4 linked regions of the Diceros bicornis minor genome follow. The protein of the gene in region 1 purifies or fractionates together with the protein of each later gene. This does not show direct contact. Links are inferred from orthologs where the notes say so. Each region holds a gene or a part of one and is shown in the gene's direction. Other genes may lie near its edges.

Evidence for each region.
Region 2: the proteins of AP1B1 (region 1) and AP1M2 purify together in Homo sapiens (affinity purification with mass spectrometry; 3 studies listed by BioGRID and IntAct, counting the BioPlex papers as one, with this or other methods). This does not show direct contact. The link is inferred for Diceros bicornis minor from reciprocal best matches to the Homo sapiens genes AP1B1 and AP1M2.
Region 3: the proteins of AP1B1 (region 1) and AP1S1 fractionate together in Homo sapiens (co-fractionation; 6 studies listed by BioGRID and IntAct, with this or other methods). This does not show direct contact. The link is inferred for Diceros bicornis minor from reciprocal best matches to the Homo sapiens genes AP1B1 and AP1S1.
Region 4: the proteins of AP1B1 (region 1) and AP1G2 fractionate together in Homo sapiens (co-fractionation; 3 studies listed by BioGRID and IntAct, with this or other methods). This does not show direct contact. The link is inferred for Diceros bicornis minor from reciprocal best matches to the Homo sapiens genes AP1B1 and AP1G2.

Annotation. Positions count from the first base shown.
Region 1 is NC_080774.1:23,055,634-23,063,527, reverse strand, and holds the start of AP1B1 (AP-1 complex subunit beta-1), read left to right. Parts: upstream 1-4,884; 5' UTR 4,885-4,997; intron 4,998-7,894. UniProt on the Homo sapiens protein: Subunit of clathrin-associated adaptor protein complex 1 that plays a role in protein sorting in the late-Golgi/trans-Golgi network (TGN) and/or endosomes.
Region 2 is NC_080769.1:8,687,643-8,695,292, forward strand, and holds the start of AP1M2 (AP-1 complex subunit mu-2), read left to right. Parts: upstream 1-4,650; 5' UTR 4,651-4,704; coding exon 4,705-4,746; intron 4,747-5,752; coding exon 5,753-5,909; intron 5,910-6,108; coding exon 6,109-6,176; intron 6,177-7,650. UniProt on the Homo sapiens protein: Subunit of clathrin-associated adaptor protein complex 1 that plays a role in protein sorting in the trans-Golgi network (TGN) and endosomes.
Region 3 is NC_080765.1:4,793,661-4,800,612, reverse strand, and holds the start of AP1S1 (AP-1 complex subunit sigma-1A), read left to right. Parts: upstream 1-3,948; 5' UTR 3,949-4,046; coding exon 4,047-4,049; intron 4,050-4,505; exon of another isoform or gene 4,506-4,563; intron 4,564-5,860; coding exon 5,861-6,039; intron 6,040-6,651; coding exon 6,652-6,760; intron 6,761-6,952. UniProt on the Homo sapiens protein: Subunit of clathrin-associated adaptor protein complex 1 that plays a role in protein sorting in the late-Golgi/trans-Golgi network (TGN) and/or endosomes.
Region 4 is NC_080744.1:24,297,333-24,305,312, forward strand, and holds the start of AP1G2 (AP-1 complex subunit gamma-like 2), read left to right. Parts: upstream 1-4,977; 5' UTR 4,978-5,082; intron 5,083-5,341; exon of another isoform or gene 5,342-5,363; intron 5,364-5,503; 5' UTR 5,504-5,504; coding exon 5,505-5,708; intron 5,709-6,119; coding exon 6,120-6,244; intron 6,245-6,385; coding exon 6,386-6,527; intron 6,528-6,647; coding exon 6,648-6,744; intron 6,745-6,914; coding exon 6,915-6,991; intron 6,992-7,109; coding exon 7,110-7,205; intron 7,206-7,617; coding exon 7,618-7,698; intron 7,699-7,980. Other genes in the region: JPH4 (junctophilin-4), read left to right, coding at 1,162-1,280, 1,626-2,158, 3,070-3,153.

The DNA of each region.
Region 1 (7,894 bases):
CACATTTATATGGTGACTAACAAATGATAATGTACAACTGAAATTTCACAATGTTTTAACTATTATGACCTCAATAAAAAAAATTCTAAAATTCCCTTTCTTTTGTTTTAGTGGCATTTCAGAAAGGTGTGGAGTTACATACACATGTTGAATTCACTCCCTTACCCAGAAGTTTCAGGAGTTAAATACCTAAAGTTAAACTGCTAACTAAATAGTTGAACTAAATATTTAGATAAACTAAAAAGGTAAACTAAATAACTAAAGTTAAACTATTTAACTAATAGTTAAATAACTAAAATAACTAAATTTAAAGAGTGTTTTATTTGCCAGGTGTAGGGTCCATTTTCTGATTTTATTATTGATTTCTAGCTTTTTAAGGTTTATTTATTTATTTTCCCCCCAAAGCCCCAGTAGATAGTTGTATGTCATAGTTGCACCGCCTTCTAGTTGCCGTATGTGGGACGCGGCCTCAGCGTGGCCAGAGAAGCGGTGTGTCGGTGTGCGCCCCGGATCCGAACCCGGGCCGCCAGCATCAGAGAGCACGCACTTAACCGCTAAGCCACAGGATCGGCCCCGATTTCTAGCTTTTTAGATTGTGATCAAAGACTGATGTATGAACTCCAATTCTACTCTATTGGAGTTTATTGACATTTTCTTTGTGCCTCAATTTATGCCTTTAAATAATTTTTAAAGCTCCCATTGAAGGAGGGTTTATAGGTTGCCAGGCACTGTACATAAATTCTACAATTTAATCTCTTTAGCAACTTTGCATGGAGGCCCAATCAGCTGGAAAGTGGGGTCCAGCTGAAGATTTGAACCCGGGTGTGGTTCAGAGCTTGGGCCTTTTTGATTGCACCAGTGGAGGGCGGTTCAGCCCTCTCAGGGGAACCTGAGAAGGGAGAGCAGAGCCCTTCAAGAGGCAGCCTATGGCAGCACTGGGGCCACAGGGGAGTGAGCAGAATTTTGCTCCTTGGAAGACCAGGGATGGTGTAATGAGAGCATTTGCAGCAGGAAAGAATGGAGGCAGAGGAGAGGTCCCTGGCAGCCTCTAGGCCCCTCTGCCCTGGAGTCTGTGCCAGGTTCCACCCGAACGGGAAGGATATGGAGCTGCCCACCCTCAGCAGGTGTGGGGCTGGTGGTGTCAGTGAGGCTACAGACAAAATCACTCCTGCCTCCTTCCGGAAAGGATCTGAGGCAACTTTTAGAAGTTTGTAAGGTAAAAACAACAAAAACAGCAAGCAAACATAAATTGAAGTAGAGTAATAGCGATAAGAAGAAGAATCTAGAAAGAAGGTTGGGACGGAGAAAGGCATGCTATCGGCTGCCTGTGCAACATTTACACCGAAAGGTCAGGGGCAGTTAATATCACCAGTGCGCCCTCTAGTGGGCATAGATGGAAAAAAAATACAATTTGTTCAACGTGTATTTATTAGGCACCCGTGTGGATGGAGGGTGGGAAAGACACGCTCTGAGATTCTGTGTGTCAGCAGGTCCCCGGTCATTTCTTGACACCACAAGAACTCCCAACCTCCCTCTGATTGTATTAAACGTCATGAGGCAGGTAAGGGTGGGATGAGGGGGAAAGCATGGGCCCTGCAGTCTTCAGCTCTGGCCTTGCCTCTCAGCTTGGTCCATTGTTGCCTCCTGAAGTTGGAAAAGTTCCTCAGCTTCTCAGGGCCTCAGTGTGCTCATCTGTAAAGTGGGAGTTCCATAGTGCCCACCTCTTGGGAATAGTGAGGGTTAAATGAAGTGATGGGTGTCAAGGGCATACAATGGTGCTTGGCACATGTTGGGTGCAGAGTTCTCAGGAAGGAGAAACTGAGGCCCAAAGAGGTGGACAGGCCTGTCCATCATCAGCCAGCTCAATAGGGCAGGGTAGAAAATGAATAGGACTTGGAGAAGAGTTTAAAAACTTCCTCCTCCAATCAGGAGGTGACGTTACTGTTAGTAATGGTATATCTGTTGGGACAAGTCTGTTCTCTCTCCAAGTGGGCTTGGCCATCACTGGCTCTGCTCCATCCTGGAGCAAAGAGCTCCTCCTGGGCCAGGGGCTCAGAGGTCTGAGGCAGGCCACACATGCCCCAGGTGGGACTTTTCTAGACAGTGTTGGACAGTGAGTGTGACTCAGGCAGTGTGGCCAGCTGGGTTGGAGATGGGGTTAGAGAGGGAAGCCCCCTGAAAGCCCCGCTTCCCTGCTTCCATCTCCCACCTCTGCAAGCTGTAATTATTCAGCCTTTGGCATTGAGTTGTGCCTCTTCTTATTAGTATTATATTTTTAGCTCTTCTGCCAGGCTGAGCTGTGAGAGAGGAGGCCAAGGCCTACAGGGAAGTGAGGAAAATCAGCTCTGCCCACTGGCCTAAGTTTTCTTATCTTTACTTGGGGACAGTCATGGAACCCCAAATTGTTGAGAGAGTTCAGTGAGTTAATATGGGGAAGAGCCTAGCACAGTGACTCTTCATGGTAACTATTAGTAGTAGTAATATCATCCTTCACAGTTCCTGCTGGATGTCACCTCCTCCAGGAAGCCATCCCTGACTTTCCCAGGATGAGTTTGGTGCCCAAGTCTCCTGCACACCCCTGGTCCTTCTGGGCTGTGTTATAATTGCCCCTTTAATTGTTCCTCTCCCAAGGAGAGGTTGTGCCACATCTTGTTCACTGTTGTATCTCCAATATGGCTGGCTCAGGTAAGAGGGACAGACATATTTTAGGTGAATGAGTGGGACTTATGAGAGCACGTATGCTGTGGCTCTGGGACCAGACCATCAGCTTTGCCACTCGGACATTGTTTGACTTCAGCTCTTGGAGTTGCAGCTCCCCTCCACTCCCCAAATAAAATGGGGCTGATGTGAGGAGCAAATGAGACCCCCTGTGCACCACCTAGCACACTACAGGTGCTCCATAAACATCCATTGCTGTTCTGCAATTTCATATTAAATGCCCCCTACTTGTCCACACCTCCCCTTCTCCCTCCAACCCCAGGGGGAGCTTCAGTGCCTCCTCTGGACTCCCATAGTCCCCAATACCTCCCCTATCACAGCACCAACCACATTTGTGCCTGCTGCTCTGTCACCCTCCCCGGACAAACTGATGGTTCAGCAAGGACAGGGCCTTTGCCTCACCTGTGTGACTATCCAACACCCAGCCCAGGGTCTGGTTCAGAGCAGGGGCTTGGGAAATGCTTTCTGAAGGACCCAGACGTCTGGCTCCCTTGCCTTCCTGTCTCTGCACTGATCTCTCTGGTTTGCCCTTTCTTTCCATCTCAGCCTCTGCAACTCTGTCCTCACTGGGCAAGGCCTAGCATAAATGCCACCTTCCCCAGAACATCCTTCTTGAGCAAATTGACGCTGTGACTTCTGTCTCCTTGGAACTCTTAAAGCTCTGACTGCTTTTACCACCAACTTGCCACTTTCACATAAGCTCTCCAGCTTGGTACCTTTAGGTTTGCTGGTTTGTTTTGTTAGATAATCCTTCTCTTTCCATGTTACATTCCTAGTGAAATCTTGTTTTTCACTGAGGCTGATGGCATTTGCCAACATTGATCATTAGGGAAAGGTGGTTTCTCCAGACAGCTGTGCATAGCATGTGGAACATGACACATGCATACAAAATCATTCTATTTGTTTCCTGCCTACTTCAGAAAAGGATTTAAAAATGGAATAAGGTCTGTAAATTTAGTTAATGGTATTATACCAATGCCGATTTCCTGGTTTTGATGTTATACTACTAATATATAAAATGTCACTACTGAAGGAAACTGGGTGAAGGCACCCTATGTACTATTTTTGCAATTTCCTGTAAGTCTATAATGATTTAAAAATAAAACCTTTTATAAAAAGGATTTGAGTCTGGTTAAACATATAAAAACTACATTGAATATTAAAACAATAATATCTAGATTAGACAGGACATACAGACTTGGCTTTGCAAGCTTATTTATTAATAAGTTTTATAATATTATAAGATTGGTAGCAACTTAAGTGTACAACTGTAGGGATTGTTTTTGAGAACAGTGATACCATCCATACAGTGGAATACCATGCAGGTATTGGAAAGCACCAAACAGAAATGTATTTATTGTTTTGGGAAAGTTTTACCAACATCTTGGTGAGTTAAAAATACTGAATGATATGTCAAGTCCTGAAGGATATTCACCAAAATATTAAAAATGATTGTCTCGGGGCGGTGGGATTGCAGATGATTTTTTATCTTCTTTTTGCTTGCTAGTATATTGCCATTCCTCTACAATGCAAATATTATTTTCCTAGTAAAACATTTTTAAAGAGTAGCAATGAAATAATGTTTTACAGGGGATGATCAAAAATTATCTAGAAGGAGAAGAAAGTTAATAGTACCAGAGCCGGGAGTGAGATGGCTATTGCACTTGAAGTCGTGGCAGACCCAGCAAAAGGAGAAATGGGATATTGTGAAGTTCTTGGAGAGTGCGATGTTTTCCCCTCTAACGTGGAATACCCAAAGGGCTGCACTGAAGGGCAGGGAGCGCTAGACTAGATTTACACCTCGAGTTTTGACTCTTCCATTCATACGGTAAGTGATCTTGAGCAAAATCCTGCCCCTCTCAGAGCCTCAGTTTTCCCGTCTATAACAGAAGGGAGATGGACCTCAGAGTCTCCACGACCTTTTCCATCTCCATCACGCGAAATTACTTAGCGGTGAGCAGGCTAATTTTCCTAACCACGCTGCGGGAGACAGCGGCGGAGCAGCGCCGCGGCCGGGGAGGGGTTAATCCGGTCGGCCCCGCCCCGCGGGCACCACCACCCCCGCCCGGGTCGCACCCTTGACCCCGCCCCCAGGCCGTGCGTCCACCGGAAGTGCCCGCGCGCGGGCAGCTCACTTCCGCCCGGCAGGTGACAGCCGCGGGGCTGGAGCGGCCGGCGGCACGGGCGCACCGGGAGAGCAGGGGGAGGAGGCCGCGGACATTTTCCTGCCGAGCCGCGCCGCGCCGCGCCGTGGCGCCGGGAGCCGTGCGGACCTGCGGGTGAGGAGGCGGGGAGTTCGACGAGGCTGGAGGAGAAGTGGGGCGGGGAGGCGGGGGTCTGAGGTGAGGGCGTTGCGGGGTCAGAGGTCACGGAGAGGACGTGGGGCTGGAGGGGCCAGAGAGGCTTCCCGGGCCCCGACGAAGCTGAAGGACTGCGGGTTCATTCATTCGCACCCGCTTGGCCGCTGCCCGCAGCCCAGCTGCCCCAGGTCCGCAGCCCCACCTGGGCGCCCTCCCGGAGAGACGGCTAGACTTAGGCCCCGCGGAGCCCGCCCCTGGCCGCAGGGGAAGCTCCTCTTCGGTCCCGGTTTTCCCCTTCACACTTATCCCCTGGGGCCTCTTCGTTCCGGCCTTATCTCTCTGCCACGGTTCGAAAAGGAAAAAAAACTGCAAGAAACAGCCCTGCGCCGCCTGCTCCGCGGCACGCTGGGGCTTGGTCTGTCCGTTGGCGCCCCACGGACGAGTTAGCTGGGGACACCTGTAATAATGCTAAAAACACCGACGAAAATGCCAGCTGCTGCGTGTTGAGCTCCTACTGTGTACCAGGCGCTGTGCTAAGCGCTTTAGTACAGTGCCACGTTTAAACTTCACAGCAGCCCTTGTGAGGTAGCTACGGTTGTTATCCCCATTTTATCCACGGGGAAACTGAGGCACAGGGAGGTTAAATCACACGTATAAGGTCAATCAGGTAGTATAGACAAGAACCAGGGTTTCTACCCTTGCTTGCAGAGACCAGCAAAGTGCAGAGACAGCAGAGAGGCTGGAGCAAGGTTGGGATGAAGGGGCTATTTAATATCTTTAGCCATTATGTGTATTTGCATCTGTGTAAAGATGTAGGCTTATTGCTTCTCGTCTAGTCTTCATAAGGGGCATTTGACTCACTTTCTTTAGGATGAAACAATCCTGCAGGCTGTTGGTGTAAGTGATTACATTTCAGGGCAAGCGTGGAAGTTTTTCCTGACTATTGGGAACTGTGAGACACAAAGCAGGCTATCCATGAAGCTAATTTGAGAGTATCTAGAACCTCTCTTGAGAGTAGTTGAGCTGCATTCCTTTTGGATTGAAGAGAAGAACCACATGACCTCTAGGGGCTCTTGTAGCCCTAGGTTCTTGAAGGACGTTCTCAAGGGAAGGGTCTGTGTCTCTCTGAGAAAAGTGCAGGCCCCATGGCTTCTTGGCTAGGGAAAGCACATCTTGCCTGGGAGGTGGTGAGGTGGTTTGATGGCCGGAGGGCTAGGTTCTGTGAGTCTGAGCCTTATTCCTTTGCAGACATTCACTAGCTCCAGTTCTGCCTCAGTTTCCCTGAGAGCAGCACAAGGGAGACCTGCTGCCTTCCTACCCACTCTTGGGTGTTGTAAGCCTTAATGAACTCGCGAAGGTTTCCACGTGCTTCTGAAGAAAGCTGTGATGTAAATATTACTGTAGTGCCTTTTTTTTTTTTAACTCTATGATCTGTTCTCCTAGTTCCATTGAATTCACAGAACCTTAATATTGTCACCTTATCCCCATCCTTCCAAGGGAGGATTTGAGATGAAGCGACTTGTCACAAATGGTAGGAACGTGAGCAGAGCTCAGAGCATCTGGCTCCCTGTCCTGAGTTGAGCCCACCAGGCTCCTCGACCTCTTAAAAACTGACGTGAAGAGCAGCTTCACTAGTTTCAAAGAATCAGATCCCTCAGAAGTTGTGTAGAGATTATCTGTTGAGTGTGGGTTGAGCAGAGGCTTCTCCCTGAGCAACCTGAAGAGCTCAGAGGTACACGGAAAAGATTCCCTTTCTCCCCCTCGCTCAGCCCTGGGTTCTGATCCCAGCTCAGCAGCTTCGTGATAGTGGGACCCGGACAACTTGCTTAGACTGGGCCTCTACTTCAGCTCTAAAATAATGATCACCACCTTCCCCCTCTCCTCCCAACACTGGTGCGTGTGGGGGTTAGATGAGGAAGTTTGTGCAGAGCCTGTTAATGTTGCGGTGGGAGCCTTGATCGTAGGCAGTTGATGCCTGCTGAGGGTCTATGTCTGAGGAAGGCTGTCTACCCTGGTTTGTGGGGTGTTACTTCCTTCCGCAGACAGAGACCTTTGTGTACACAGGACTTCTCCCACCCTTCTCGTTTCACTTCCTAAAAGTTTGTCAGAACAAGTTCAGTCCATTGGTCCTGCTGGCTTTCGGCTTGGACTTTCATCTTTTTCTAGTCGTCCTCTGAAACTGTTGCGTATCTTGACTGCTCACTTCCCAGAAAACCCGCATGCCTGGCACCAAAGCCTGATGTGCTGACACTGAGCAAACATGGCTTGGGTATGGGTTTTGCACTTTGGTGTATTCCTGAAAGCTGAGGGAACATCTATAACTTGAAGATGTTTCTTTTTCTGCACAAGTCTTTTTGTCTAAGATAGGTTACTTATAAATTATTACAGCCCAGAAATGGTTTTTGTGTTCTTTTTCTCTTCACACGGAGAGAAACAGATAACTCCAGAGAGAAAATACCACTTGAGCAGTTGGAGAATCCTTAAAAAAAAACTTCTGCTTGAATATCCATCAGTGGCTCCTCGTTGCCCTCAAGCTAAAACTCACATTCCTTAGCATGGCATTCAAGGCCTTTTGGGCTCTGACCCCTGCCTGGCTCTTCTGCCTTATCTCTCCTGCTCCACACTTCTACCTCCTCCCAAGCTCCAAGCAAACTCAGCTGCTTTTCTACAAAGTGCTAACTCGTTATGCCTCTGTGTCTTTGCTTTGTGCTGTTCTCACTGCCTGAACACCATTTCATGTCACATACACACCCCACCCCACACTTCTTTGCTGGACCACTACTTGGTGCCTCCCATCCGATCATCCCCTCCACCTTGCAGGCCTGAGCTAGATGCCCCTCCTTGATGTCCTGTGGCACTGATCATAATGGGTTATC
Region 2 (7,650 bases), on another chromosome or scaffold:
TCGTGGTGTGGAGAAGGGATGGAAGGGAGTGCCTACAGGCAGGGTCCTGGAGGGGAGGCTGGGCCATGCTGTCATCTAAGAGGAACTGGGGCAGGCCACAGCCCCTGGGGACGGGGGAGGTGGCAGCTGAGGCGGGGCAGCTGGGCACACAGAGCTGCTCTGTTCTCTGACCCCACTGAAGCTTTTGAGCTCATGAATTTTTCAGCCAAACAGGCCTTAGTTTCAGATTCCATGGTGCTGGGTCCAGGCTTTGGGGTTCTATTTACTGTCTGAAAACATCCCAGGGTCCCAGAAGAAGGACCCTTTGGAGGTTCAACAGGGCCTGGCCTGGGGCGAGGGCCTGGCAGCGCCCTCAATCCCCCTGGGTCACCTGCTGAGCAAGGGGCTGGCAGGATGGTGGAGGACACCCCTCTTTTGGGCAGAGGCAATGTAAAACCTTGCACCTTGCAGGGGTGGAATTCTAACTCTGCCCCTGAGGCCTGGGTGGCTTGTACAAGTCACTTGCCCTCTGAGCCTCAGTTTTCCCATCTGTCAAATGGAGATATAGGCTTCCTTAACTCAAAGAGTTGTTTTGAGGAGGATTGCCACCTGGGAGACGGTTGGGGCAGCGCCTGGGTATAGCGAGCACACATAAGCGTGAACTATGTGTTAGTAACAGTCATACTGGTATCCGGCAATGAGCAGACCAGTTGGCAGTGGGCTGAGTCAAATTCTGACTCCACTGCCTCCCTGCTGTGTGTCCTCAGGCAAGTGGCTTCACCTCTCTGTGCCTCGGCTTTTGCCAACATAAGAAGACATGAAGGTCTTCCCCTTAGGACCTGAATTAGCAGGAAAACCATAACTGGGAAGACCAGAATCAAATACAGCAAAAAATAACAAACTTGGGGGAAAAAAAAAGACACAAAGAAGGTGGGAAGATAAGTGCTCGAGGAGAGGCCACTGCCGCTGTCGTCCTGTTCCTGTGGGTGTTAGATATGGTGCAGAGGCGAGTGGCGGTTCTGTCAGTTGCTGAGTGGCGGTTCTGTCAGTTGCTATCTTTTCACCTCCCTCCCTTGAGTCCCCTGTGGGGACGCCCAGCCCACTCCCAGGGGCTGGTAAAGGGCTGGGGCTGGGTTTGGGGAAGGAGGGGAGAGGGGATGAGGGATGAGGGATGAGGGATGAGGGATGAGGGATGAGGGATGAGGCCCACGAGGGCTGAGTGACTCCCCCTGGAGACTCCTCCCTCGCTCTGTGGAGCAGGATGCGTCCCAGCCAGGCTGAGATGGAATTTCCCTTCTCTTCCTTAATTTCCCTTCCCAAAAATTCCCTGCCTCTAAGATGGCAGACAGTTGTGGGGTGGAACCTGGTGTCCCCAGTAGCTGAGGGGCAGGGAGCTGAGACCCTGTGCCAGGCATGGATTTACGCCCAAACTCAGAGAGTGCAGCTCAAGGAGGTGACACCACGACTGTTACACCCATTTTAACAGAAGGGGAAACTGAGGCAATGCCCAATGCCTCACAGCCCACGGTGGAGTCAGAACTCAAACCTAGCACCTGTGTTCTTTTTCCCCCCAATTTTAATAATATATTTAATTTAACCCCAAATTTTTATCATTTCAACATGTAATCAATATTAAAATTATTCCTGAGATTTTTTTTGTACCAAGTCTTTGGAATACTGTGTGTATTTCTTTTTTGTTAGTTTCCTCTATTTTTATTTATTTATTTATCTATTTATTTTTTTTTAATTTTATTTATTTATGTTTCCCCCAAAGCCCCAGTAGATAGTTGTATGTCATAGCTGCACATCCTTCTAGTTGCTGTATGTGGGACGCGGCTTCAGCATGGCCGGAGAAGCGGTGCGTCGGTGCACGCCCGGGATCCGAACCCGGGCCGCCAGCAGCGGAGCGCGCACACTTAACCTCTAAGCCACGGGGCCGGCCTCTATTTTTATTTAAAATTAAAAAGAAACAAATCGAAGTTTCTCATGTCACATGCATTTCCAATGTAAACAATTTGTATTTTAAACAAGGAGTTTACGGAAGGAAACGTTTGCAGTGTCCTGGTCTATTTCCATTAGGAGGTTTTATTTTCTAAATTAAACTCCTTTGTCCCCGTTGGTAAGGGAAACATAGTTACAAGGCAGAAACCCAGAATTTTTTCTCGCAGCCACAAGCCAAAATGAGAAAAATGCATTTTATCTTCAAGAACAAAGATTTAATATGGTTTTGTTTTTCGGTTTGGGTTTTTTTTTTTTCCCCCATTTGATTTGGTTCCCTGCCTTAACTTTTCCTAGCTTTAGGAATTTTGTTGCTAATTCAGCAGCACCTGTGTTCTTTTTTCTTTTTCTGAGGAAGATTGGCCCTGAGCTAACATCTGTTGCCAATCTTCCTCTTTTTTTTTTTTTCCTTTTTTCTCCCCAAAGACCCAGTACATAGCTGTGTATCATAGTTGTAGATTTGTAGCTCTTCTATATGGGACGCCGCCTCAGCGTGGCTTGATGAGCCATGAATAGGTCCGTGCCCAGGATCCTAACCGGGGAACCCCAGGCCACTGAAGGGGAACGTGTGAACTTAACTGCTGTGCCACCGGGCTGGCCCCTGCACCTGTGTTCTTAACCACCACACAGTAAATAATAACAATAACAAATAATAATAACAGGAGGGTCGGCCGCACCCCACGCACTGCTCTGAGCACCACGTTGTGTGTAGTAACTCATGCCATCTGCGCTGTAATTAATTAGGAAAGTACGGAAATTAACCGTGTTTAACAGATGTGCAAACCGACGTCCAGGGAGGGGAGGCCAGGTCCCCAAGGCGGCGCAGCTCGTGGGTTGCAAACCCAGGACTTGAGCCCAGACAGCTGGCTCTAGAGCCTGCACGCTCAACTGCACACATCTAAACAACAGCAGCAAAAACAGTATCAGTACCAGCTTTGTGCCAGGCTCTGCAGAGACTCCTTCTCTTGGATTGTCCCGCTCATAAGGTCGTGGTGGAAATTTTTCAAATGTCGGCCTCGTCTCTGAGTTCCATGCATCACAGCCCCCCATTCATTCTCCAGCACACACCCCCAGCCCACTGTCGCCGGTTCAGCTGCCTGCAGTGTTCCCATCCTCATCTGGGATCATCTTGTTTTGGGGTTCTTATGCTGTGTGTCTCCCGCCCTCCCTAGAACGAGAACAGTGGAGTGGCTTTGCCTATGTCGCCATCCACAGCGCCACAGAGGATGCTCAACAAATATTCACTCACTGAATGGTCCATCACCAACAGTATCAATTGTCATCAGCACCACAATGAAAGCAGCTTTCACATGTCCCCTTCAGCACACAGTAGGTGCTCCATAAATGTTGGTTGAGTGAATAATATTATGATGATTATAGTCATAATCATAATGACCATTTATCTTTTCAACAGTTGCTCAACATCTCAGTGTCACGTTATAGAAGCTTATAAATGTTTTTGGAGGGAATGAATAAGAGTAACATTGGGAATAATGATACAAGCAGTTACACTGGGGCCAGCCCTGGTGGCATGCTCCACTTTGGCGGCCCGGGTTCAGTTCCTGGGCATGGACCTACACCGTTCTATTAGCAGCCGTGCTGTGCTGGTGGCCCACATACTAAAAAATAGAGGAAGATTGGCACAGATGTTAGCTCAGAGTGAATCTTCCTCAGCAAAAAAAAAAAAAAGCAGGTACATTGGTTCTTCTCAGAATGCTACCCACAATTCCTGAGTGAAAGAATTTACTAGAGAGTATTTGAGTGAAAGAATAAATTAATCAGTAAGTATTTATTGTATGAATGAATGAATGACTTGGACAAATATTATTGAGTGCCCAGTGGTGGGCACTGGGGACATAGACATGATCAGGACAAACCCTGTCCTATTGGGGCGGACGTGCATGTGGGAGAGACAGAGGAGAAACAAGATGAATGGATGGATGGATGGATGATGGATGGATGGAGAGATAGATGATGGATGGATAGATGAGGGATGACGGATGGATGGATGGATGGATGGATGGATGGATGGATGGATGGATGGGTGATGGATGATGGATGGGTGGATGGATGGATGGATAGATGATGGATGGGTGGATGGATGGATGGATAGATGATGGATAGATGATGGATGGATGGATGGATGGATAGATGATGGATGGGTGGATGGATGGATGGATGGATAGATGATGGATGGGTGGATAGATGGATGGATAGATGATGGATGGATGATGGATGGATGGATGGATGGATAGATGATGGATGGGTGGATGGATGGATGGATAGATGATGGATGTATGATGGATGGAGGGAGGGAGGGATGATGGATGGATGGGGGAGAGATGACGGATGGGTGGATGGATGGATGGATAGAGGATGGATGGATGATGGATGGATGGAGAGAGAGACGATGGATGGATGGATAGATAATGGATGGATGGATGGATGGATGGATTGGTGATTGGTCTGGAGTCTCCGTCCACCAGCACTCCTGGGCGCAAAAGGAAAGTGAGGCGGAGCAGCTGTCGCATCCGAAGCTCCGCCCCTCGCAGCCCCCGCAGCGTCTTCTCGTCGGCCGACAGCGCCGCTCACCTGGCGGCCTCCCCTTTAAGACGCGCGCACCTGGGCGCACACCTGCGCGCGGGCGCTTCCGCAGGAAGAAGGAAGCAGCGCCGCCGTCTCCAACCGGCGCTCCCTCTCCGCCTCCCAGGTCCGCCGGCCGCCACCATGTCCGCCTCGGCTGTCTTCATCCTCGACGTCAAGGGCAAGGTGAGGCTGGGCGCGAGGGGAGGGGGGACGGACAGGTGAGGCTGCGCCCCCGCGGACTCAGGAGCGGCCCCTCCTCGCAGGCGGGGAGGCCCCAGAAAGCCCTGGGCACGTGGGGACATCCCCTCCCCCAATCCCTGGGAGTCCCGGGTCCAATCCCACCTCCACTGTTTACCTCTCTGAGCCTCAGTCTCCCTCTCCGTAAACAGGGGAATACAAGGGTCCCCACTCAAAAAGAATTAATACCACCCGATTCGTGTCAGTCACTTTCCACCGTAGCCCTGCTGCAAACATTTGGCGTTTATTCAACTGAAATTATGTTTACCATCGTCACCATCCAAAGTCTTAATATTGCGGGAAGATAGAGGGGCAGGGGACCCTAATTCCCCTTTGGGGCTGCCCCGTCCGTTTCTGGAACCCTCTCTCATTCATCTGGTCATTCAATAGCAATAATAACAGGGGTGGTGAAAATAATATTCCTGATAATAATAATGGTGACAGCTAAGGTGTCTGCGGACCTGCTGCATGTCTTCTAGGTTCTAAACACTGGACTAAACAATATCATCAGGTGGGTACTATTATTATTGACTGCTTACAGCCTGCCAGGCGAAACTATAGGAGCTAAAAGAGATATATGGGTATAATCTTTCGTTTCTCTTTCTATAATCTTTCCTCCCTCCCTTCCTTCCTTCGTTTATTCAATTTCCAGTTTCCCCAATTATCATGGACACGGTTCGTGCCTCAGTTTCCCCATCTGTAAAATGGAGATGTTAATACTATCTGCCTCACAGGGTGGTGGTGAGAACTAAGACAGTCAGCAAACATCCAGACTTCAGTAGAACACGGCCTAGACCTCAGGGAGGGCTCTGGACACGTTAGCTGTTGTTATCACGTACCCATTTTACAGAGGAGGAAACTGAGGCCCAAAGAGCCGGAGCCTGGCGGAGGGCCCTCAGGTGGAGGGTCCCCGGATCCCGGTGGTGACCGGGCCTTCTCCGCCCACCCGTAGCCCCTGATCAGCCGCAACTACAAGGGCGATGTGGCCATGAGTGAGATCGAGCACTTCATGCCCCTGCTCATGCAGCGGGAGGAGGAGGGCGCCCTGGCCCCGCTGTTGAGCCACGGCCGCGTCCACTTCCTGTGGATCAAACACAGCAACCTCTACTGTATCCGGCCGCGCGCAGGGGCCCTGGGGGCCTGGGTGGTGGCAGCTCAGGCCCAGAGAGGGTGGGCTGAGGATAGGAGTTGCACAGCACATCAGTGGCTCAGGCTGGGGATTGGAGGGGGGCAGGGTGGGGATTCGGGGTCTGTGCTCCCTCCGAGCCCTCCAAAATGGCACCTGTTCCTTAACGTCGCTGCCCGCAGTGGTGGCCACCACGCTGAAGAACGCCAACGCCTCCCTCGTGTACTCCTTCCTGTACAAGACGGTGGAGGTAGGTCCCGGCCTCCCATTGGCCGGCTGATCTGTCTGTCCACTCGTCTTGCCCGCCTCTTTCAGGATCCGTTTCTCCCGGGAAGCTTCCCCGGGCCGCCCTGGGGGGCCCCCATCAAAACCCCATCACTGTGTTCTCATCAGCTGCCACCGGATCATCTCTCCCTACAGGGCAGGGACCAAGGAGGTCTCCAAGGGGCTATACTGCTCAAATCTGAGCCCGAGGGAACCGGGTTCCGATCCCAGCTCCCCTGCTGCCTGGCTGTGTGACCTTGAGCAAGCCACTTCCCCTCTCTGTGCCTCAAAACTGGGAGTTACAACAAGTCCTGCCTCGGGGTTGTTATACCAATTAATCAAATTCATATCCATAAAGTGCCTAAAACATGCTCAGTATACACTAAGTGCTCCATAAAGGCTTCCTATTGTCAGCATTATCACCAATGTTATACTGTCTCATGACAATTTATCGAGCACTTGTATGCCATTATCGATGACGGAGAAAGTGCTCAGTAATGACTTTTCTTTTTTTTTTTTGGTGAGGAAGATCCACCTTGAGCTAACATCCATGCCAATCCTCCTCTTTTTGCTGAGGAAGACTGGTCCTGAGCTAACATCTGTGCCCATCTGCCTCCACTTTATGTGGGACGCCGCCACAGCATGGCCTGCCAAGCAGTGCGTCAGTGCGCACCTGGGATCTGAACCTGCAAACGCTCGGGCCACCAAAGCGGAGCGCACGCACTTAACCATTGTGCCACTGGGCAGGCCCTTCAGTAATGACTTTTCAACGAACAAGAAATATTTATTGATTTGTCTCCTCTCTGCCAGGCAAAGGGGGGACACAGCAATGCATAGGGGACTGTCCCTGGCTGTCCTGAGGAGTGAAAGGGCATGATGGAGATTAAACAGGACATTTTCCAGTGGCTGGGATGCTGGTCTCATGGTGATACTTATGGGGGTTGGGGGGATGGTGGTGGCCTCATTGAGGGGTGACATTTGAGCTGAGGCCTGAATTCCAAGGATCCTGTGAGCAGAGTGTCCCAGGCAGAGGGGACAGCATATGCAAAGGCCCTGGGGTAGGAATAGAAAGCAGGCCAGTGAGGCTGGAGCAGAATGAGGGATGGAGAGTGTTTCAGATGTTGGATGACCGACAGGTTCTCTGCTGTGGTTATGCCTGCTAATTCCCAGGGGCTCTTAACTCGAGGTCCCCAAACTCCCAAGGGCCTGAGGATAGAATTCAGGGAGTCCATGATCTTAGATGCATTTCTAGATAACAGATTTCCTTTGCCATCCCCTGTATTTTATTTCATGCCTTCACAAACCTTATTCCGAGGCGGGTCCAGAAACATCACAGATGCACAGGAACCCACGGTCCACAAAACACAGTTCTGTGCCCTTCCAGTCCCTCCTCCAGGGCAGGGACGCTGTTGGTTTTGTTCACCATTAATGTCCGGCACAGGCATACAGTAGGCGCTCAA
Region 3 (6,952 bases), on another chromosome or scaffold:
ATGTTTCTTACTATCAAGTCCCTAAGCAGAAGAGACATCAAAAAGCTGAAACGTTATGCGAGTCACCGCAAAATGATTGAAAGGAACATGGTAGAAATGACGACTATAGTCTAGAACGTGGAGCCTCATCAGGTGCAGCTGCTTGATTGAAATTTAAAGGATGAATAAGATGGATTTGGGTCCGTGGGGAGGGAATGGCAGAGCATTCCAGAAAATAGTGTGAACAAAATCACAGAGGAAAAATAATAGCAAGGCAGGTTCAAGGGGCACATCTGAGGAAGAAGTCCCAAGTCGCCAGGTTGGTTTTCAGACTGCTCCCTCCATGCAGCCTTCTCCTGGTCTAGTCAGGCAGGTCTGACCTATGTCCCTGAATAAGCTATGCTTTTACGTCATCCTTCACGTCTCAGGCTGAGAGTCTACAAGCCTAGGCAAAGGCCGTGACATTGACCACAATGAGATGGCATGGTTTCAGGGGAGGGAGGAAGGAAGTAACTCATTTTTGGCAAGTGAAGTTTGAGATGACAATGGAATCTTCAAATGGGGGATCTAGTACACATTTATTCAACCAATTTTGGTCATCTCTACGTGTCAGGCACTGTGCTAGACACGGTAGAAACAGCAAAAGAAGACAGTTTATCCTCTAGCAGGAATAATAGAACTAAAAATGTACTATTGTATACAAAATTAGAATTGAGCATATTTTAGATGAGAAGTAAGATTAAAATACCTAAAGTTGATAACCATGTATACCGATCATAACTCAAGCCAATCAACCAGCACAGCGCTGGGTGCTGTGGAGAAACAAAAGATGAATAAGACACTGTCCTACGAGGAGCTTACATTCTAGCTGGAGAGACGAGCCTGACTGAGATGTGCGGTCAATGGACAATATGGCAATGATAACCAACTTTACCAGTCAGAGTTCTTAGTTACCAGGAACAGAAACCAACTCTGGCTAACCGAAGCACAAAAGGAAACTGGGGAGCTCAGGGAGTTGCCAGGAGGACCAGGGAACCAGAGGGAGGTCTCACAGTAGAGACCATGACCCAAATCACATTGGTGCCCCTGCCCTACCCTCTCACTGGGCACAGGACACTGGAATTGGTGCCACTCCACTGGTGCCCTAGGTTTTGATCCTCTGACCCTCTGCCAGAGTCTTACATACCCTCCATCACCCCTTCACCACCTCATTCCCTCCTGGATCAAAGTCTGGGCCGGTGCACCTTTTGGCTGAGTCTAGCAGACATGCCCATGCCCCGGGCACAAAGGCAGCGGCGGAAGTGAACATCTGGAAATTTCAAATGCTACACTGGAGGCTGTTCTGTCTACCCCTAGACTAGTAAGGTGGGGATTTCCAAGCCCTAGGAAGGGGGGTTGGAGCCTGGGAAGTGAAAAATAATGGCAAATATCTACCACGGAAAGTATTCTAATTGTCAGGACTGTTAGGAACAGCATATGATACGGTCCTAATTGCTCAGTGAAAAAAAGAAGTCAAAAAAAAAAAAAAAACACAGAGATGACTGAAACAAGATCATCAAGGAACTACGGACTACCTAAAGAATGTGCAAAAAGTGGCTGCAGAGAACATCACAAGAGGGAGAAATACAGACCATATGCTCATATAGATGAAATGCTCAAGGCCATCTGGGCCACCCCTCCAACCACCACAGGAACCAACTCTACCACCAGAAGAGGGAAAGCTCGGCGACGTGTCAGCACGGTTTGTACGGCGACAATACAAACACCATCTGCACCTATGAAGGAGAATCTCGCCTCTTCCATTTTTCCATTTATACATATGGCGCCACTAACCCTCCAGGCTCATCTTTGATCTTCTTTCTTCTTCTCCACTTAGATGAGATATCCACTTCTGCGGATTGGTCCATTACAGGTATCTCTCCAATTTGTCCCTCTCCATTTCCTCTTTGTTCCCGGATTCCCACAACTGCCTCCTAAATGATCTTCCGGTTTTCCATCTGTCCTTTCGAATTGTCCCTCATATTACTATGAGATTAATTTTCTTAAAACTGTTTTCATCAAGTTATTCCCCAGCTCAGATGACCATAACAACCCCCAACTGCCCACTTCATCAAATCTGAACTCATCTGCAGACACAAGCCACGTTGGGTCCACTAACTCAGAGATTCTCTAAATTCGTCGCTCACTAACAATGAAGAAATCCAGTCCACCGTCTTCTAACTAGTTTAAACCACTTGAAATCTATGATTCTACATGAACAAAACCCAGATTTCTAACAATTCTCTCATGAATCTTATCTTTTCTGCAGCTAGGCATACCACATTGAGATAAGGAATTCTAGAAAGTGTCAGCTTTCCAAGGAGTGTAGCAATTTACATCTTGAGCTTCCAAACTCTCTTGGGCTGTTGCCTAGCTCTCTGCTTTACATATTTACCTCATCGCTTATTACTTCCTTATTTACAACCTTCTCCTCTCCCCAGGAGCACATTGCTTTTCATTTGTTTTGTCTTCGTCCTTCTTACACACTTCCATTCCTTCTTTTCACTCTGTAATGATTTACGCTTTCTAACTCTAACAACTTGTTTTATTGATATTATTCTTGACCTTAAAAATAACACCAAGGGGCCGGCCTGGTGGCGTAGTGGTTAAGTTCGCATGCTCTGCTTCGGTGGCCCAGGGTTCTCGGGTTCGGATCCCCAGCGGACCTATGCACTGCTTGTCATGCCATGCTGTGGTGGCGTCCCACATACAAAATAGAGGAAGATCGGCATAGATGTTGGCTCAGGGCCAATCTTCCTCACCAAAGGAAAAAAAAGTAAGAAGAGAAAGTAGTAGAGGAGAGAAGTTGGGAAACGGAAATAATGATAACCGCTACTATTGTCAAGTGTTTACAGCATGCCAGGTATTTTCTATACACCCTCAGAACAACCTTGCAACGTCGGTATTGCTACTCTCATTTTTAAAATGAGGAAATGGAGGGTTAAATGACCCACCTGAGGCTAAACATCAAGTAAGGGTGAGAGACCAGATTGCATCCCAGGTGAATTAGACCCACCCTCTTGCAACTAGAGCAGCTAGAGACAGGTAAGGCCTTACCAGCAATTGCTTCAACTGAGACTCAAAAACAATAGCATCATTAGTTACCAACAATTATCTAGAAATAGCCATTACGTTTTCAGCATGACAAAATTTAAGATTTTCTCATCCTTATATGCAAACCCCTTCATTTTACTACATGGACACACACACGGACGTACAGACTCACACACGCACATCCTTAGCCAAAAATCTCGTATTATGATTTACATCCTCCTCATCTTTACACTTGTGTCTGGGTTACATCTGTCCCTTTTTAGTTTTGACCCATGCAACCTTCTAAGATTTTCTTTATTTCTTCCCCTTTTGCTTTAATTCACGCTTCTCCTCCTCTTCCTTACATCACTTTTATATCAGCCCCTCCTTTTCTCTTTTATTTCTCATCTCCCTCATTTCCTACGCATTTCTCTTCCTTTAAGAGTGTTGCATCTAGCAGGTTCTCAGTAGATATCTATTTTGAGCTCCATACTTTTCTCATATCTGCCCCCCTCCTTTGTCTTGGTCTTTCTCATCATTCCTCCTCCCCTACATCCGATTCCCACTCAGCTAGCTCTCAATTGCCCACACCCCTTCCGTTAGTCCTCTCTGCTCCTCACAAACTTCGTCGGTCGTCCCATCCATCTCTCACCCCTTTTCCCGCCTTTTTCCCCCAAGGTTCCAAAGCTCGAGGACCTCATTGTCTTCCTCCCCCCATCCTCCAACCAGCCCTCAAGGCAGCCTTGTTACCATAACGACAGAGCTTCTCAAAGCTGAAGTCAAGGACCTGGTTGCCAAGGCTTCCGCTTCTCCGCCTCCAGCCCCGCCCGCGCGCCGCGCAGCCTTGGCGCCTGCGTAGTACGCAACGCGAAGGGCCTCGGAGCCGGGGCGGGGCTTCAAGCGAGAGGGAGGGAAGCCGGAGAAAGGATAAGAAAGGGAGTGGAGCTGGCGCCTACGGTGGCCGAAGAGGGACGCGCCGAGCCGGAGGCTGCAGGATGGTAGGCTGTGCGAAGAGCGAGGGGAGGGGAGGGGGAAGCGAGGGGCGTGGGCTGCACCTGCGAGGGTCCTTGGGGGCCGCCCTCGGTGGGAGCCGCTCTCTCTTCCTCCGGTCCGCAGAGGCCCTCTCTTACCTGGGCGGGTGGGCCAGCCGGCCTCGGAGGGAAGAGCAGCTGGAAATGGCTTTGAGGGGAAGGGGCGGGAGGGGGCGCATTTGTGGGGCGGAAAGGTGGGATTAGGGGCGGCAGGACCATCCCGAGCCGGGGGGAGCGCGCGGGATGAGATCCAAGGGGTCCCGACCACTGCCGCAGGGAAGTCGCCAGAGGAATAGGGGCGCGGGGGCCTGTTGGCGGAGGGAGGCAGCGGGGTCGGGGGTCGTCAAGACCCTCTGCCCCCCTGCAGCCCGGAGAGGAGCGGCGGCCTGCGGAGAGAGCGGTGTGTGGGAGGGGATAGTTTTCGGGTCCGAGGAGTGGACGTCCCGCCTCGCGTTATCGCCCTGCTCGCCTAGAGGCTGGGGTGAGGAGGGAAAGCCAAGTGGGCTCGAGGTCTTGCTCTCGGGGACCCGGGCTTTGGGTCCCCGGCTCCGTGCTCTTAGCTCTCCGTCCCCCATCCCATTCTCTTTCCGGAACCCAGGCCTTCCGTCTTCCTGCTCGCTTCCCACCCCCCGCCCCCATCTTAGACACGCACGGCTCCCTTGTGCCCCTCTGTTGCTCTCCCACCACGCTAGGAGCGCTTCCTCTTCCACACCACCAAAAAACCCATGAATTCTGATCTTTACTAGATTAGTACTGTTCCACACACCCAGGGATTCCAGCCCTGGTCATGTCCATGGAGAGGAGAGCTGCAGGGAGAAGGAGATAACTCCAGGATGAGTCCTGGACCCCCTGGCACCGGGAAGCTGGGGGTGCACGGGGTAGTGAGGGCTCTGCCCTCCTCCCCACTCTACCCAGCTTGCACTTTGTTCCACAAACATTCCCTAGGGGAGCCACCCTGGATCGCTGTGTCCTTTCTGAGGAATTGAAAGGGAAATTGGTTCTCTGGTATCTGAGAGGGAGTGTGGGCCTACCAGGAGGCACCCTAAAAGGAAGAAAAGAGAAAAATATCAGTGGCCAAATGCCTGGATGGCTGAGGAGAGAGGAGGGTGAAATTTGGGGGTCCCAATACCACGTGCTAAGGTGAAGGGTACACCTGGGCATAGGACTCGCATTGGAGGGCACCGTGTTAGGGACATCAGCAAGGGTGTATGGCTGGAATGGGTGGAGGATTGAGGTAGCTTCTTGAGGCACAAAATATTCGATTTCAGCATAGTATATAGAAGGAGCATGCAAGAAAGCAGACGGCTCTGACGTCAGCTGTGGGCTGATGCGAAGCATTTTACTTAGCTTTGGAAGGCAGCGTCAGCGAATAATAACAATGATACCTAATGTGTTACAGTGCTTGCCATGTGCCAGGCACTGTTGTATATGTCAACTCTAATCCCTCCTAACAACTTTGTAAGGTAGGTACTTTTATTATCTCGGTCTTACAGACCGGGAAACAGAGACATAAAGTAATTGCCCAAGGCAAATTACTCAACTAGTAGAGCCAGGATTTAAACCCAAATGACAGACTGAGAAGCTCCGACACCCCCCAGAAGGAAAGGCACCTGTTGGTGGGAATACTCAGAGTCGACAGCAAGAGCTGATTTTTGAAGAAAGTAGGAGCTTCAAGTAGAGAAGAGTTAGATGGGATAAGTTTGGGGTTGTGTGTTTATGGAGGAAACAAACTCAGAGAACCAAACCTCTGACCCTCAGCTCTGCCTCCCCACCCCCAGATGCGATTCATGCTGCTGTTCAGCCGGCAGGGGAAGCTGCGGCTGCAAAAATGGTACCTGGCCACATCAGACAAGGAGCGAAAGAAGATGGTTCGGGAGCTTATGCAGGTTGTTCTGGCTCGCAAGCCCAAGATGTGCAGCTTCCTGGAGTGGAGGGACCTCAAAGTTGTCTATAAGAGGTGACTCCCCACCTACTTTCAGACCTGCCTGGATCCTGCTTGATTGGGGTCTGGCAGTGGGTTCAGATGGCTGAGTAATAAGTGGTCCCTTGGGTCAGGGAGAGCTGGGAGCTAAGGACATCTGGAGGGCGGTGAACTCCAGCTTCCTGTACTTTCCAAACTCGCCTTGAAGAAACTCTTGTTCCCACCTGGTTTTGCTCAAGCCTGACACCTACTTCATACACATACCTCTGTCCCAAAGGCCCTATCTTGTCCATTGCACATGTCCCTTGCTTCAAGATCCTGTGCCACTTTTCCCAACACACACACACCCCCTTTCTATTTCCTTCTCTGAGCAGGTGGATTAGTTGGCTCAGGTTTTTTGCTGAATCAAACTGAACAGGTCAGAGGGCAAGAGGGAAGGAGCTGTGTCTTTGCCTGTGCTTGTGAGAGGCCCTGAGAGGCAGAGTGAGTTACTATTTGCATGCCCTGGGGCCACCTCACCTGTGTCCAGTAGGGCGCAGGCCCTGAGTTGGGAATGAGGAGAAATGGGAGATTTGAGCCCAGAAGGCCCGGGTCCTGAAGCAGGCCCAGCAGCCCTCCCAGCTGTCCCTCATGTGCCCCTGTCCTCAGATATGCCAGCCTCTACTTCTGCTGCGCCATCGAGGGCCAAGACAATGAGCTCATCACGCTGGAGCTGATCCACCGATATGTGGAGCTCCTGGACAAATACTTCGGCAGCGTAAGTCCCCCCACTCGCCGCAATTTCCATAGCTAGCGATCCCCTCTTTCTTCCGAACTCTGGGGCTCTTCCAGTCTCTGCCCGGGAAGACTCGGGAGAGGTGAAGTTGGAGCAGCGAGAGCAGTAATTAATCTCCCTCTGTAAGCCTTAAGCCTGCTAGCCATGCCCCTCAATCAGCCCAGGGGAGAAGGG
Region 4 (7,980 bases), on another chromosome or scaffold:
TTCAAGCCCATGACAAGTATGTCTGATTACCTCTATCTCTTCTCCTTGTGCCCCACCTTCAGTCAAGATTACAGACCTAAATGAATGATTACAAGGCATCTACATTAACAACAGAGGGTGAAAGGGAAAGGAAAATTGAGGAAGCATCTGACATCAGAGGGAGAACTGGGAAACCCCAGTGGGGAAAGGATTGATAATGCTTCCAGGCAACCTCTACCTATAGAGCAGGGCAGGATGGGAGGGGCTGTGGAAGGGAGACTAAGAGCTTACCCAGAAGGTCTCATGGCCATGCTGAGAAAGCATGCATGTTAGCAGGGAGAGGGAATAGATCATAGGAGAAAGGGGGGGACCCACCCTTACTCCAGTTTCAGAGCTCAGATAGGAGGGGGCAGGGCAGGGGGCAGGGGGCAGTGGCAGTGACCAAACGGGGAGAACAATGTGATAACAGAAGGACTGAAGACAAGCAAGATGTGAAATTCTCATGTTGGGAAATCTGCAGTGGAGGAGGCAGGGATAAATAACAAGAAGGGCTAGCAGCAGTAAGGGGAAGGAGGCAAAGGCTCCTAACACAGGGAGAGAGCAGCCCAGAACAAGGGGCAGGGTGGGGCAAAGCTGCCAGGAGGGCAGCATCGAGGTCCAAGAAAACGCCCTGGACCCCAGAGAGAGCTGTGTGACCCCAGGGAGTGTGAGAGGAGTTGATAACAACAGGAGGTGCCGACAGCAAAGAGGGAGGGCAGGCATAGCTTGTAAGCACCAAGCAGGTGTGACTGCAGAGGGATGTGCTAAGAGAGTGAGGTCTCATTTGTCACCAGGAAAGGAACAGGACAGTGGCGGGCAGCTGGGGAGGGCCTGGCCCCTGCAGCTGGAAGAAGGGAAGTGTTACTACAGGATGCAGTGGTGGAAGGGTGTGAGAGGAGCAGGGAGGTGTAATGACAGTAGGCCCAGCCCAGCTCTAGGAGAAGAAACCAAAGGCCAGCTGCCCTGGCGGCCGGGAAGGAGAGCAGCTGGCAGAGTGTGAGCAAGGGTGAGGACTCCAGAGGTGAGCTCAGATCCAGAGGATGTGATGTGGTGGGGACCTGGGCCAGGGGGCTGGAGCATCTGAGCAGGGCTAATCTGAAGGGGGTGCTGGTCTGCTAAGTCCCTGTCCCTGGAACCCAACAGGGCAGCAGACGCCCTTCTAAAGGCAGTGGCAGCCAGCAGTGTCGCCGAGAAGGCTGTGGAGGCAGCTCGAATGGCCAAACTGATAGCCCAGGACCTGCAACCCATGTTAGAGGCCCCAGGTGAGGCGTGGGCAGCCTGGGGCGGGGGATGGGCCCCCTGGGGAGCTGGAGAGGCTCTGGCATGGAAAGGGGAAGGGAATCCCTGCAGGGCACTTGGGATGGAAAAGCCAAGGATTGAGGGTCCAAGGGGACGGAGGGTGGGGGCCAGGCCCGGTTGTTTGGAGAGTGGACCTGGGAATTTATGAAATAGGGCCAGAACGACTATGGGGTTGCGGTCTTGCAATGAGAGGCGGTAACCCTGGGGACACTGAAGTCCTGGGAGGCGCCCAGACAGGGGATAAAGCTGTAGCTTTGGCAGCCCAAGGCCAGTTAGGCCCCTCTGATTCTTAGCTATCCCTGCCCCAGGCCACAGACCCAGGCAGGACTCAGAAGGTTCCGACACAGAGCCCTTGGATGAGGACAGCCCTGGGGTGTACGAGAATGGACTGACCCCCTCAGAGGGCTCCCCTGAACTGCCTAGCAGTCCTGCCTCCTCCCGCCAACCCTGGCGACACCCTGCCTGCCGGAGCCCACTGCCTCCTGGGGGGGACCAGGGTCCCTTCTCCAGCCCCAAAGCTTGGCCTGAGGAGTGGGGGGGCCCAGGTGAGCAGGCAGAGGAACTAGCTGGCTATGAGGCTGAGGATGAGGCTGGGATGCAGGGGCCAGGGCCCAGAGACGGTTCCCCACTGCTCGGAGGCTGCAGCGACAGTTCTGGAAGTCTTCGAGAGGAGGAGGGGGAAGATGAAGAGCCCTTGCCCCAGCTGAGGACCCCAGGGGGCTTGGAGCCTGAGCCCGGGACCACACCAGTCCCGAGGGGCCCGTCCTCAAGGGGTCCTGAAGCCAGGTGCCTGATGGAAGAGCTTGAGGAGCATGCCGCAACCGAGAGGCCTGCCCAGCCGGTGAGACACTCTCCATCCCCATTTTGTGCCCTCAGAGTCTCAGCTCCTTTCTGGCCCCTCTTCCCAAAGCCTTGCCTCTCCTTCCATCCAGGCCTCTGTCTGATCCCCTGGGGCTTTGATCTGGGCTCAGCTTCCTCTCTGCCTGCCCAGTCCTGGCCCATATCCCACCTCAAAAGAGACCTTCATGTCCAACGCCCTCATTTGACAGATGGGGGAACTGAGGCCCAGAGCATTTGAAGTAACTTGCCCAAAGCTACAAACTAATAATTAACGGTGGAGCCAGAACATCTTTCCCTGTTCTCCTTCCATATCATTTCCAACTCCCAGTTTCCTACTCCACCCCCACCCCCACCTCCACCTCCACACTTTCTCTCTTTGGTGCCCAGAAATAAAAAAGGAAAAGCTTGTTCCCTCCCTACCCTGACTCTCCCTCCCTCTCCTGGGAAGAAGGGAAATAGGAAAGGCAGCAGAAACCCAGGAGGGGTGGAGATTCTCCAGAATCCTCTACTCTGATTGGACTTCAGGTCTTCTCCTGTTTCCTAGCAACCACATCCTCATCCCTCATCCCCCTCTGCTTTACTGCAGTACCGGCTGCTGCTGCCAACAACGTCTGCTACTAAGGCCAGGCACCTTCTGCCTGGGCCACGTGACATGCTGGTGGGAGAGGAGTGGAGAGTGGAGGGAGGAAGGGCTGTTCCTGACTTGAGGGAGCCAGAGGGAAGGTGGGGCCCTGCCTGGGAGAAGAGGGGTGTTTTGCAATCCAAAACAAAGGTTGGAGATCCCCCCACGCCTGGCACTGAGGAGAGGGGCTGTGACCATTCAGCTTTGCCACTTCAGCCAGGGCAGGAAGGTGGGACCTGTCGTTGGACCTGGTCCTCGGGGACTGAGGCTGCATTTCCCCCTCTCTCTAGGGAGCTGCCAACCCCCTGGTGGTGGGAGCCGTGGCCCTCCTGGACCTCAGCCTGGCGTTCCTGTTCTCCCAGCTCCTCACCTGAGGCTCCTGCCCAGCCTAGCCTGGCTTTGGTTGCTGCCTCTTCACTCCTTGGACCTGCCTTTTTCTCTCTTCCTCCTCCTGGTTGTTTCTTCTCCTATCTTTCTTTCTCTTCTCCCTTTCCTTCCTTTCTTTTCTGTCCCCCTTTGTTTTCATCTCTTGCTTTTTCTTCCCCTCTCTCCTTTCAGATTCTCTCATTTCCTGTGGATCTGTCTGTCGTCCTCACTCCCTTCCCCACCCCACCCCTTCTCCCTCTCTAGATTGTTTACATATGAAGGGCTTTTCTCCTCAGAGTTGCTCTCTTCTCTGAGACACACAAATCTAAGTCAGACCATTGCCCCACAACCTCCCCGCCTTTTCTTTAGACCTGAACTTCGATGAGGGTAGGGGTTTGGTGTCCTGAGGAGTCTCCTGGAAGCCAAGTGGAAAGGAGGAAGAAAATGGAGAAGGGGGTACTGTATACTGGGCAAGGCACTGGCCGAGCTGTGGTGGGAGCTGGACCCAAGGGGCCTGAGGTCCCTCTGAGGCCTAGTGAAAAGGCCAGAGGAGGTGCAGCCCCCATCTCTGACCTGGGAGGATCCTGTCTCACCTCCAAGGGTTGAGCTAGGTTCTTGCCTAACTTCATCCTTCCTTGAAGGAGATAAGGGAAATGAAAAGTAGGAGGACTCTCTAGCATCTCCCTCTTTCTCTCCTCAACAGCCAGCCCCTCCCTCGTCCAACCGGTTTGGGTGGCATGCCATGTCCAGAGCAATGTGTAAAGCAAAGCAAATGTCCAGTGCAGCCAAGTCCACCCATTGACCTCTCGCACCCTCCTCTCTCCCCCTAAACGTTTATTTGCTTGGTCTGGACTCACTTGTGGCCTTTGATTAAATTTCTAAGGGGCCTGAAGAAGACATTTCTACTGCAGAGGGTTTGAGGCACCTGAGCAAGGACCCCACTCCCCAACTCTGGCAGTCGTGGCGGTGGTGGAGGGGGCGGCAGTTCTGGGGAACGGAACCAGACTAGATAACAGGAACTCACAGGGCAGCAGAAGCTGTGACAAGTTTAGTAGTCTCTAAGTGGGTTATGTCCCTTCCCCCATCCCCATCAGAATCTTGTGAAATGGGAAAACAACAGGAGGAGGGGATCAAGGAAACCAATCTCACACACTTTCTAGGCAGGGAAGAGGTGGGCCTCAAAGCCGTTGAGAGGTGGGTGGAGAGCCCTGTTTGAGATTGTGGCTGATCCCTGGTACTAGCTTTTCCCCTGGGGGCAGGAAGCCCAAGGAAGAGGGACTGTAGGGTACCCAGGGGATCTTTCCTCCCTCCCCTGCATGAGGCAGAGGCAAGCTGCCTGCCAACCCCCTCCCTCAAGGAATGGCCTTGCCTGGGAATGCCCACCACACACATCCTCCTCTTTTTTTCTAGTCAAACTCTGTTCACTCCTTGGCCTGCATCTCTCCTTTCTCCCCTCTCAACCTTTACTTCTGATTTCTATTTCATGGAATTTGGGATTGAAGTTAAACTACAACAGTGCCGCCAACACTAAGTCTTGCAGGAAAAAAAAATACAAAGAAATTTAACAAAAAAAATATATTAATAAAAAACTTCAAAAAAGGGGGGGATTGTCATCTCCTTTGGGGTGCGATGGCTTCAAACCCAAGCTCTCTGAGGCTCTCCGGGTGCTGAGAATGTTCGAGGAGCCCTCTTGGGGAAACCCCAGGCCTGATAGACAGTCTCGCCGCCCCTATGCGGATCAGAGCTGCTTCCCCTAAACTCCAAAGCCAGAGGCCTGAGGTCAGAGGATTCAAGACGTCTCAGCAGGGAGGCCCAGGAAGGGCGGGGTCCCGTGGTGGGGGCGGGGAGAGGGAAGGACCAGACGAAGCACCAACCCCCGCCCGGCCCCGTACCAGGAAGTGCTGGGGGCAGAGGAGCAGAGTTGAGCCAGAAGCCAGGTGAGGCTGGCGTTAGGGATGGCATCCTGGTGTGGGGAAGCTGGGGCCGCCTGCGATGTGAACGGCGGAGGAGTCCCGCAAGAGAAATCGCGCAGGGCCGTGGAAGGAAAGAAATGGCTGAGCTAGGGATGGGAAACCAGGTGGAGGACGGAAGGGGGGTGGGAAATAGGCGGGGCTCCTGCGCGTGCTCAGTAGGGACGGGCTGGTTGGGGGGGGGCACGCATGCGTAATGGGGATCTCCTCGGGATGGGGGTGGAGTTCGGACACCCACGTGGAGAAAGGTAAATGTGGGCTCAGTTTTAGGGTAGCTGTGGGACCCGGGCCCTCAGGATCTTGGCCCAGGGGACCCTGGGCAGAAAGGCCATGCAGCCCTAGCAAGAGAAGGTTAAAGCCCTTTCCATTCCCGGGCTTTGACCCCCAGGATGTTGGTGCCTTCGCTGAAGCTTCAAGACCTAATCGAGGAGATTCGTGGGGCCAAGACCCAGGCCCAGGAGCGGGAGGTGATCCAAAAGGAGTGCGCCCACATCCGGGCCTCCTTCCGCGATGGGGACCCTCTGCACAGGCACCGCCAGCTGGCCAAACTGCTCTACGTCCACATGTTGGGCTACCCCGCCCACTTTGGACAGGTACTGGGCAGAGTTTGATGAGGGAGGCTAGTGGAGCAGTGTCTCAGACCCCCTCACGTATCTGTGCCCTGATTTTTTTATTTTACAAAGTTGCTGAACCCTCACAGTATACACTGCAGACCTCCTTCCCCATTACAGTCCCTGTGGGTCATCAGCTGGACTGAACCCTTCATTCTCTGGCCAGCCTCATTCAGGGTACCTCCTCCTCTCCTCTCCCATCATCCTCGACTCCTATTGCCTGGAAACTACCCACTGACTCTCGATCTCCTAAGCCCCTCCTCCTGTTGAAGGGAGGTTGATGGGATATTGTGCCCCCACAAGTTAATCTGGCATTAAGGAGGAGGATAGAAAGGGATGTTAGTGCCTCTGGTTTCAGTCCTGCCCCTTCCTGGTCTGCCCCCTTCCCTATAGATGGAGTGCCTGAAACTGATCGCCTCTCCCAGATTCACAGACAAGAGGGTGGGCTACCTGGGGGCCATGCTTCTACTGGATGAGAGGCAGGATGCCCACCTGCTCATTACCAACAGCATCAAGAAGTGAGAGGGTTCTGGGAAGCACTTGGAATCAGGGAGATGGGAGATGGGGGAACTGGGAAATCCCAAGGGGCTGCCTGCTGTAGGTACTGGGAAGGCCTGGATTTCCCAGAGCCTTGACTGACTGCCCTCCCAACTCTGCAGTGACCTGAGCCAGGGGACTCAGGCAGTACAAGGCCTGGCCCTGTGCACTCTGAGCACCATGGGCTCTGCTGAGATGTGCCGGGATCTGGCCACTGAGGTGGAGAAACTGCTCCTGCAGCCCAGCCCCTATGTGCGCAAGAAGGTGAGCTGGCAGGACTCTAGGCACCTGCCCCTCCAGAAACTGTCCCGTTTGCCATGTGATAGAGGTAGGGGGTCCATCTTGGCAGACCTCCACCCTCTCTGAGCCCCCTGACCTCTGCAGGCTGTTCTGACTGCAGTGCACATGATCCGGAAGGTCCCTGAGCTCTCCACCATCTTCCTCCCACCCTGTGCCCAACTGCTTCGCGAACGCCACCACGGTAAGGCCACCGGGCTCCCCATCCCCTGCCTCAGCTCTGGCTACCGACAGAAGTGAAAAATGGGATGGGAACACCAGCTCCTAGGAGAAGGCTAGGACGTGCACACACACGCACACAGTAGACGCTCCTGTTCCCCTGGCCCACCATTCGCTTCCCCCACCCTCACCCAGGCATCCTAATGGGCACCATCACACTGATCATGGAGCTCAGCGAACGAAGCCCTGCAGCCCTCAAGCACTTTCGAAAGGTGGGCTGGAGAAGGGGCAGGCCCTGGGCCAGGAAGAGAGGAGCAGTGGGGTTGGAGTGGGGCTGAAGGGTGAGAGGACTTGGAAGAATGCCCAGATGAGGCTGTGCCCTCCCCCCAGGTGGTGCCCCAGCTGGTGCAGATCCTCCGGACTCTGCTGACAACGGGATACTCCACAGAACACAGCATATCTGGAGTCAGCGACCCCTTCCTGCAGGTGGGCTGGCCCTTCCCTGCTGTATCCCTGGAACAGAGAGCTGAGCTGGAAACCCATGGCCGGTGGTCACCTCCCGGAGAACACTTTGGCTCAGTCAGTGCCTTAGGCAGAAGGGTGGCAGGCACAGGTCTGCCCAGGTCATCCCAGGACCATTGCGGGGAGGGGGACACCTGAAAGTTAGAAAATCCAGTTTGGTAACAATAAAAAAAAGCTTGTCCGCAAATCCCCTGGCCTCACACACCTCTGATCCCCTCCCAGGGCCCAAGGGACCTGGGGGGGAGGGAGGGGCAGGGAGCCTCTAGGGAACCAGCCAGGTCTCTCACAATGCTCTCCTTAATGGATTTTTCTCCTCAGCCCCATGACTCCTTACCCTATGAACCCCTCCACTTTTCAACCTTTAACCCAACTTTAGGTCCGGATACTTCGTCTGCTTCGGATTCTGGGCCGGAACCACGAGGAGAGCAGTGAGACCATGAATGACTTGCTAGCCCAGGTTGGGGGCTGGGGAGCGGGCACTGGTTAGGTGTGTTGCTCTATGATCCCACCAGCCCTGGGCATCCCTCACATGACCACCGACCACAGAGTGGCAGTACAGTCACGTCTCCATTTCCCTCTAGACTGTGACCTCAGTGAGGACAGGGACACAGTCTCTCTCAGTGCAATAGCCCCTGCACATAGTGGGGCTCAGGAACTTTGTTAGATGGTTGAGGGATGACATGGTGGAGACCTTCCAAAGACCTGAGGAGAGGACAGAGCCCCCTGTAGATGCATCTTC